3 linked regions of the Solanum lycopersicum genome follow. The protein of the gene in region 3 binds, or shares a complex with, the protein of the main gene of each other region. Links are inferred from orthologs where the notes say so. Each region holds a gene or a part of one and is shown on either strand. Other genes may lie near its edges.

Region 1 (2,412 bases), on a different chromosome or scaffold from region 3:
CTTTCATCTTTGACTATCAGGGTACATGATACTGGATCGGACACCAGAGTTATAAAAATATGCAATTTAACTCTTTTTCCAATAAAACAAAGCACTAATTGCCAAAATGCTAGAGGTAACCAACTCATTTTTACTCGGCTATAGGATGTTTTGGGCTGATTAGTGCAGATGAAGTTGGTCAATCCATTAATCTTGATGATTCATATAAGTGGGGGAACAATAAAGGTCACGGACTACAAATGGGATAGACTGGCCTATAATATTACTCACAAGGCTAACAGTAGATGCAAAGAGACGTATATGTTTGTTCTTTTATGTGTAAGAATCATACTCAGGTGTATTTTGTATGACCTACTTATTTTCAAGTATCTTTTTCACGGTGTTTGATTGTCATGTAATAATTGATTGAGTCGCCTTCAACATCAAGTGATTGAGTTCACGTTTGATGGATAAAAAACACTATTAATCCTTCTGGAGTGGGGTGATTTTACACATATATATTATAGCAAGGAAAGAGTAATAGGTACACGTGAACTCAAGTTGTGCCTAAATAAGCAACTAATAACAAAAAAGTGTTATTATGGTAATGAAAAAATAAAAGTATCCATTCAAGTGAAGTTTACTTCAATATCATCGAAAAAGGAAGGAAAATGAAACGATTTGACACCAATTGAAGGAACAATTTAACCTTTTAGAAGTAAAGTCATTTCCTCTAAACATGTAACCTACTAATAGTCAACATTCACTTCTCATAGTTATGTCCAAAATACAACTACTATGCTCCATATATTATACAATAACTTTTATATTAAATCATATAATATCAGAGAAAGATTAAAATAATTATGACTAGTTGAAAACATTACCAAACATACAGACACAAGTTGAGGAATTGTGTCCCATGATCTTATAAGATTATTACTCATTTGAACTCAATTAGGCCGTGTACTTTTGACTCTAAATTATATTCACTTATGTACTAAAATTTCATAAACTATTCTTTAATCACAATGACCTTTGGGTCTCTAACTAAGAATTTCTCCGTCTCTGCCCTTTATACACACCGTCCATCGCTCCTATCGATTGTGAAGTTACGTTTAGTTTTCAGACTTAATATATGAACATAAATGGTAAGTTATTATTATACAAAAATATAAACTATACATAAATTAAAGACCAACACTAAATAGAAGCAAAAGTGTAAATGATCCCACAGATTTATTTGGGCCAGACCAATTGTTGTTCTACTACATCCAACACTCAAATAACCCAAAAGGGCTTTAAGGCCCAAATGCCAAACGGTGTCGTAACCTTAGCAGAAACTGAAGTCACCAGAAGATAACGAAGGCAATCCACTTCAAAGGTTCCATTAAACACAGCCAGAAGAAGGAAAAACCTTTGAAGAGAAGAAAAAAGAAAATGTCAGCCTCCGCCATATTCGGGTTGCAGATGGCGGTGTTGCCGCGTTCCTCAACTGTTTCAGCGACCGGATTCACCGGCGGAGCCACCAGGTTGGCGTCGGCACCCACAAGTATCGGGGGATTGGTAATTGAGTGCTCATCTAGGCCACAGAAGAAGGCTACAGCTCACCATAAGAAGACACGTCCACGGAAGACTCAAGCTTGGGATATTCGACGTGGACCAGCTGTTTATGCTCCGTTACCTCCCTTACCATCGGAGTGGTCCTTTGCCAGTGATGAATCGGGTCAACCCGCTGCCGCCGGAGCTTCAGAGTCCGACGCCAAATCTGAGTAATTTTTCTGTAACTTATCATTTCGGCTTTTGTATAATGGTGTTTTCCGTCTGATACTTTGGGGAAATTTGCAACTTGTTCAATTGCAGTTTTGGCGCAATAAGTGATTTGAAATGAATGTTTTACGCTTTACTTTTTAATCTATTCAATGCCACTGGATAATGCCGTAGCTTGTGAGATAATAAACAATATCCTTCGAATATCGGTTCCGTATAATAAAATAGCAAAATTATATATTATGTAAAGCAAATATCAAATGTGATCGGGGAGAGGGGTCTCGTACTAAAAACAATGAATGAGAAAACAGTAGCTATGTTTGTATTTGCATTAAGGCAATATACTCGCTCATTCAACATCGGAATCCTTTGAACTATGTCGCAACAACCATTCCGATCAAAACCAAACTATCCAGTAGATTAGACGAGCCAACAATGTACATTTTATGTTCCTACTGTAAATGGCATATTTACAAAGTATGAAACCCAATTATTTGCCCTCCAGACAACATTTACCAAGGCCTCAAAGCTTTTCTTGAATCTATCAATTATTCAAAGACGGGAAACAAAAAAGACCCCAAGCTCACTTAATTGGAATCGTGTACCAAAAGGGGCAAAAGCTTCCAAAGTAGCAACCGTTATCGAGAGAGCTCTTCTGCACTT
Region 2 (3,767 bases), on a different chromosome or scaffold from region 3:
ATTGGTGCTCTATTATTTTGTGATGGTAGATAGATTTAGTGCTATAGTAGCAAAATTTCAGTTGTTGCTACTCTCAGCAACAGCATGCCCAGTATCTTTCCACGAGCGAGATCTGGAGAGGGTGGGATGTAAACAAACGTTACTCCTACTTTTGCTACTTTATCTTATATAATTTGAGGGTTTTTCCTCTAGTTCATAAATTCTAAAATATTACAGTTGTTTGTACCTGAGAAGTGTTGTAAAAACCTTCTTTATGTCTATATTAATTTGATGTTACTGGAAATTGAGTACCTTTTAAGATCATTTTGTCATATATTAAACACTAAAATAAATTTCAGTCTTCTTTTATTTGTGTAATTTTTTTGATTTATTTTTTTTTCCTTCCAATTTTGCGGGCTTGATTTTTAACATAACAAATGGCATTACTTTTGTTCTTATTTTACTCTTCTTACCACGTATTTGTAATCTTACTTCTACGTTTTAAAGATAGAATAATTATTTTTTAAGAGCCTCAAATTAAATAAAACATATCAAAAATAGTACTAGCACTATGAAAATTAAATATAATGTATATGTAATTGCAAAAAGTAGATGGGAGGCTTTACATAACTAACCTCGAGTCAAAATTAAACAATGATGGCTTCAAGAGTAAATGACCTATTATATAATTTAGAATATTTGTTAATCTCTCCATTTCAAAAAGGATGGTCTAGCTTGCCTTGAAACAGAATTTAAGAAGAAAAAAAAATTTTTTAATCTTGTGATTCTAAATTAAAGTTATGTCAAATGTACCAAAATATCCTTTAATCTTGTGGTCTTAAACATGTCACGTGGAAAGTTCAAGTTAAAATATTATGAAAAAAGGAAATGAGTTTTTTGTTTTGAAACAGACTAAAAAAGGAAATAGAGACGTTCTTTTTGAAACGAAGGGAGTATTATGTTACGAGAATATGTAAATTTATACTATTTCTAATACAATTATTTTTAAAAAAATAAATAAAGGATTTCGGGGTAAAATAGTCATTTGGCTACCACTGCAGATAGGATAGGCTTCAACAGATAAAATTGAGAGAGAGACAGAGAATACCCAAAAAAAACCTCTCACTCTCTAACAATGGCAACCCTTTCCCTGTGTTCTACATCTTCCCCCTCAACAGCACTTTCCAAGAACCAAACTTTTCTTAACACCCTTTCTGTTCCCAAAGCAAATTCCAATGTTACTTTTCTATCTCACTCATTTTCCTCTCTCAATCTCCGTTTCTCCAAGCCCAATTCTTTATCCTCTTTTGTACCCAAATACTCAGAATCTGAAGCTCCAGTAGCTGAAGTTGAAGCTGACCAAGAAGAGCCTGTTGTGGAAGCCACTAGCTTGGAACCAAAACGGGAAGAAATCTTTGCTGTTGTTATGGTGACGACTCACTTCCATTCATGTTTAAATTTGTGTAGACATATCTGTTTGTTTTCAATTTCGAAATCAATGTGAGGGTACAATTTAGATTTTTATTGAAAAAATTATGAGGTCCCAAATGAAAATTTGAAAATTCAGCGGAAAATGTTTCAGTTGTCTGTTACCTTGAATTTTTTTCTCGAAGGAAATAGGAAATTGATCTATTCCCTCTAAGGGAATGTTACTTTGTTGTATAGAGATCACAACTTTGGTTCAAGATTGTCATGTGCTCAACCTTTGATATCACAAAAGCAGTCGGAATTTTAATAAGGGGAATTCAAAATTACTCAGACCTATTATTGAAGCAATTTCTCGAATTAACCTTTGCCACTAGAACGAAAACTTCCTTTATGTCAAACGGATTAGAAGTTCCAAAAATTTGTTTTCATGAAGAATGTTCCACCACACCTCACTCACTTAGTTCATATTTCGTGTTTGCTAGTACTGTTGATACATTACTGCTTCCTATGGTGTATGTGGTGAAAATAGGGAGTGTTACAATGAAATTCTTTCGTTCTGTTATTTATACGTCAATGCCATTCTGTGATGCTTAGGTTTAGCATTCTGTTTTAGGGTGTCTTAAAGGAACAATACACATGTCTATATGTTTGTGTCATATTGACTTGGCAGTGGTGGTGGCTATTGGAAATGTTAAAATAGTCCGTGCTAAATAAGCTGAACTGAACTTTTTATATGCTTAGTATTCTCCAGTAGAGTTGGCTGATGTTAACAGAAAACTATAATTATTATGAAGACATGACGAAGATTTAGTACTTGGTATATCCTTACCTGTGTTCTGGACACCATCCAATTTCAAAAATCTCAGTCTATGTTCTCTTTGGTTTTAGTTTAATTTCGTTTTACAAGTGGGCCATCTATTTTCGGTAGGCGTTTCCTCTAGTTAAGTTGCAAAGGGGTTCATATGGCAGATTAGAAGTAATATAACTAATAAATAACTGATAACTATCATTTAGTTCTAACTTTAGGTGTTATACAGTTGTCAGAGGGAATACATATCTACAAGTCCATGCAAACATTTAAGCAAAAGTCTAGTAATTGTTGAAATTTGATTTTGAGGTTGCCATATTCTACACTTTCATCTTTTATTTAATGTGAATTGTGAACTATTGTATTTAACCGGAGAAAACATTCATGTTTACTACTTATTTGATGAATATTTTTTCTTTTCCATGTGGAAAATACTCACTCTTGCGAGGAGATTATAGCTGCTATTTCAATCTGATCATTATTCCTGCTGCTAACAATTTTCAAGTCCTCTAGGTGTCAAATTTTGTGCTTTATTTTGTTCTTTTTTCTTTTTTTCAGATGAATGTGACACTACCCTAATATAACTCTATGGGGCTTGTCTTTAATACGTTAAGCTGTTTGTTCATTTTTGCTCTTTCGCTTTCATAGGTTGGATCTCGGCAATATATTGTTTTTCCTGGGCGGTATATCTACACCCAGAGGCTTAAAGGTGCAAATGTCAATGACAAAGTGAGCATTTTTGGTCTTAATTTACAATTGATTTCCCAAAATCTGGTTACCTCTCTGTGGCTTTGGCTTTAGTTACGTGAGTTGTTTTTCTTTTTCCTTGTCTCGCTATCTCATATCAACATTGTGGTGTCCAATCAAAAAGAACTTGCTTGCAGCAATTTCTCAATTATGTCAAAAGGCATCAATTTCAACCAATAGTGACATTTGCTTGTCCTATTTCTATTATCTTTAATACATTGTCTTCACCAGTTATTTTCCACGGAAGCTAACACTTGATATAAGGGTTATATGTGTATGTCAAGGTTTTCTTGCCATATTGGCAATACTCTTATTTCAAAATTTCCACAATGAGGATCATTGTTGAAGCATCTATACTTGTTGCTTCTGCAGATTATCCTAAACAAGGTGTTACTTGTGGGAACAAAAACAAGTACTTGGGTTGGAAAACCAGTGGTGCCAAATGCAACAGTCCACGCTGTTGTTGAAGAGCAGGTCAGACATCATTCTTCCTCTGCTGTAGTTTCCACTGAGTATATCTTGTTTACTTGACATATCTGTTGGCTCATTATTACATTTCCATGCAGTTGAAAGATAAGAAGGTTATCGTCTTCAAGTATAAGAAGAAAAAGAACTACAGAAGGAATATTGGTCACAGACAGGTATCAAAGAACTGTTTTTAGTGATATCTGAATAACTATAAAGTAGTTTGAACTTTTTTAACCTATCTGTTTGCCCTTAAAGCAAGGCGCACCGTAGTCTATCATAGTTTTAACTATGTCTGCAAATAATTACCATGCAAACATGAAAACTGTCTAAATCAGTG
Region 3 (2,702 bases):
TTTATCCTTAAATTAGTAATCTTTTAACTTTTTGTACATGTCTATGGATCAGAGTGTCTTTAGTTATGACCTAATCTTAGAGATTTTTGTTGTTTTATTTGACATAAGTTGTATGTTATCATTCGTAAGGCGTAAGTTTAGAGAACATTTTGTCTTGTAGAAATAAGTTAAGTCTGTTGAGGCATGATTTTGTGGGTTTTAAGACTGAACACATTTCTCGATAAACATAAGTTCCATAGAAACTAAGTTATGTCTTATAAGTCATAACTCATGAGTTATGCCAGAACTAAGTTTATGTTTTATAATAAGGCATTATGAATTGAACTTTTATGCTTCGTTCTTTAGGAATAAGAGACATAAATTGTTTAGATTAGATACGAAAAAATAAAATTGTCTTGTGGTTTTTTATTTTATTTATTTATTTTCGATGTTAAGAGTATTTTCAGACGACTTTTTTGTTATCGCAAGTGATGAAGGACAAAAATTATCCTAAAAAATTAACTACCACCCCATGGGTACATGCGTATGACCCTTTTCCACAGTGGTAAAGTAAAGAAAAATACTAAAAACTGATAGGTTTATTCAGCTCAATCAGTTGTTGGCAGAATCTCAAGAGATGAACACAAATTAGAGAATCTTGCAGCATATAAAACTTCTGAAAATTGAATTAGCTCCCCTTTTAGCAAATCGAAGCATAATGTACATTAGCACCTAGTAAGAATTAAACTGAACATAAACATTGACAATATCAAACAAAATTATTCTCTTAGCAACTGTGCCTATGAATGCTTCCACACTGATATTGACAATATGAAGTTTGGATCTCCTTTCAAACTCCACCTACTTTGTATCCTAACTCTCATAAAATGGAAGCTCTGATAAGGCGCCGAAGAAACTTAGGTAGATGATAGAAGATACAATATACATGTCTCGCTCAATTAAGCATTCGGAAGCTTGTACTCCAGCATCTCCCTTACGTTTAACCGAATGGATGGCCCCATCGACGAGCATACATGTGCACTCTTCCAATAAACTCCTTTAGCACCTGATGGTTTGTTTGCTTCCACCGATTTCTGTTCATTCAAAGAAATGCAGTTGAATTAATTTACAATGGCTTCTACCAGCCTCTCTACCTCCATGAGGTAGTTGTAAGGTCTGTATACATTCTACCCTCCCCAGACCCCACTTTTTAGAATTTTACTCGGTATGTTGTTGTTGGTATATTCAAACTATTCTGGAACAAAAGTATAAGAAATAGGAGCTAACGATAAAACTTACCACTGCTGCAATGAAGTTTATGATAAGATCTTCTTCCGAGAAATTTGCTTTTCCAAATGGCAAGTGAACAATTCCAGTTTTATCTGCTCGGTATTCTACTTTACCCTTTTTGAATTCTTCGATAGCCTGGAGGAAGTACAACAAGTTTACATACTTGAAAACATTTTCAAGGAGCAAGAAAATAGTCCATTAAGTGAATCATCACTGCCTACTCATTAACTACATTGTTTCACATTTTGTTAACTCTGAATAACTTCCAAGCTAGGATATATATGGTGTGGCTTCCCATTTAATATAAAGATCTAGGGATTCCACCATTGCACATAGAACATAAGAAAGAGAGTATTTTGATTCAACTTTTTCACAAGAAGAAAATATTTGACACGTTACCTGAGGTATATTTGTAGTGACAGTACCAGCTTTTGGGTTTGGCATGAGTCCTCTAGGACCAAGGACCCTACCTAAGCTAGCAACCTGCCGCAAATAGTAGAGAATGTATCAATATGAATTCACAAAAAAATTACGTAAAATGAGCCACAGATACTTGTTCAGGTGTTAATAAAACTAATTTCTAGACAAGTCACTTAAAAAGGTTCAATTTTTTGAATCAGCTGTCAGTGAGCATTAAAATGGTAAGACGGGGAGAGGAGCCTCTGCGATTAATCACTCAGCTTAAGTTAGGCTTAATATTGCCATCAGTCCTGCAGCATTAGATTTATGATAAAGTAAGATGGACCATAATTCACAAATATACAATGCAGAAGCTGTTCCAAGATATGGCACATGAAGAATGTAAAACTCATGCACAATGTTACAACAGAATTTTATGATTTAACTTTTTCAGAAAGAAGGCTTGCTAGAAAATATGCAGATGCTGACTAGCCAGATTTTGAGGTCAAGGAATTTTAAGAGCACCAACCTAGCAAAATATATGAACAAATGAACATGGAATGACAGAGAAAGACTCCGAAGGGAATGATAGAATTTAACAAAATATGTTTTATTCAACCAAATCATTATTTTAGTTGTGAAGTATTTTCAGAAGAAAAGATACAACAGCTAGAGCTTTTCACCAGGTCAAGTGAGTTGGTTCAGAACAAGCTACGCATTGTTAAGTTATATATCCAGGTTGACAAGGCCCAAACGCATGCACAAAAACTTTGGGAGCGAGATATGCTGAATTATTTGAGACAGACAGTCGCTCTTTGCCTTGTGCAAACTTCAATATGAGATTCTTAAAACCAAGAGACAGAAGTTCATAGGCTGGTTGTCGAAGACAGTATAAAAAATGAAAAAGGAGATCAAATTGAACATCAAAGGCAAGTCAGACATTTTTAATAGCAAAGACTGTAGAAACACCTTAGGCATCATATCTGGTGTTGCAATCAATTTGTCAAACTCCATAAATCCTCCCTTTATCTGTT

The links.
Region 1: large ribosomal subunit protein uL1c (region 3) and large ribosomal subunit protein cL38 share a complex: the UniProt entries of both Arabidopsis thaliana proteins name them as parts of the 50S ribosomal subunit. The link is inferred for Solanum lycopersicum from reciprocal best matches to the Arabidopsis thaliana genes EMB3126 and PSRP6.
Region 2: large ribosomal subunit protein uL1c (region 3) and large ribosomal subunit protein bL21c share a complex: the UniProt entries of both Arabidopsis thaliana proteins name them as parts of the 50S ribosomal subunit. The link is inferred for Solanum lycopersicum from reciprocal best matches to the Arabidopsis thaliana genes EMB3126 and RPL21C.

The regions. Positions count from the first base shown.
Region 1 is NC_090803.1:63,903,453-63,905,864, reverse strand, and holds large ribosomal subunit protein cL38, read left to right. Parts: upstream 1-1,419; coding exon 1,420-1,755; downstream 1,756-2,412.
Region 2 is NC_090805.1:43,261,900-43,265,666, forward strand, and holds the start of large ribosomal subunit protein bL21c, read left to right. Parts: upstream 1-991; 5' UTR 992-1,114; coding exon 1,115-1,408; intron 1,409-2,863; coding exon 2,864-2,944; intron 2,945-3,334; coding exon 3,335-3,436; intron 3,437-3,528; coding exon 3,529-3,603; intron 3,604-3,767. UniProt on the Arabidopsis thaliana protein: This protein binds to 23S ribosomal RNA in the presence of protein L20.
Region 3 is NC_090800.1:78,436,333-78,439,034, reverse strand, and holds the end of large ribosomal subunit protein uL1c, read right to left. Parts: coding exon 2,638-2,702; intron 1,753-2,637; coding exon 1,669-1,752; intron 1,405-1,668; coding exon 1,279-1,404; intron 1,074-1,278; coding exon 939-1,073; 3' UTR 628-938; downstream 1-627. UniProt on the Arabidopsis thaliana protein: This protein binds directly to 23S ribosomal RNA.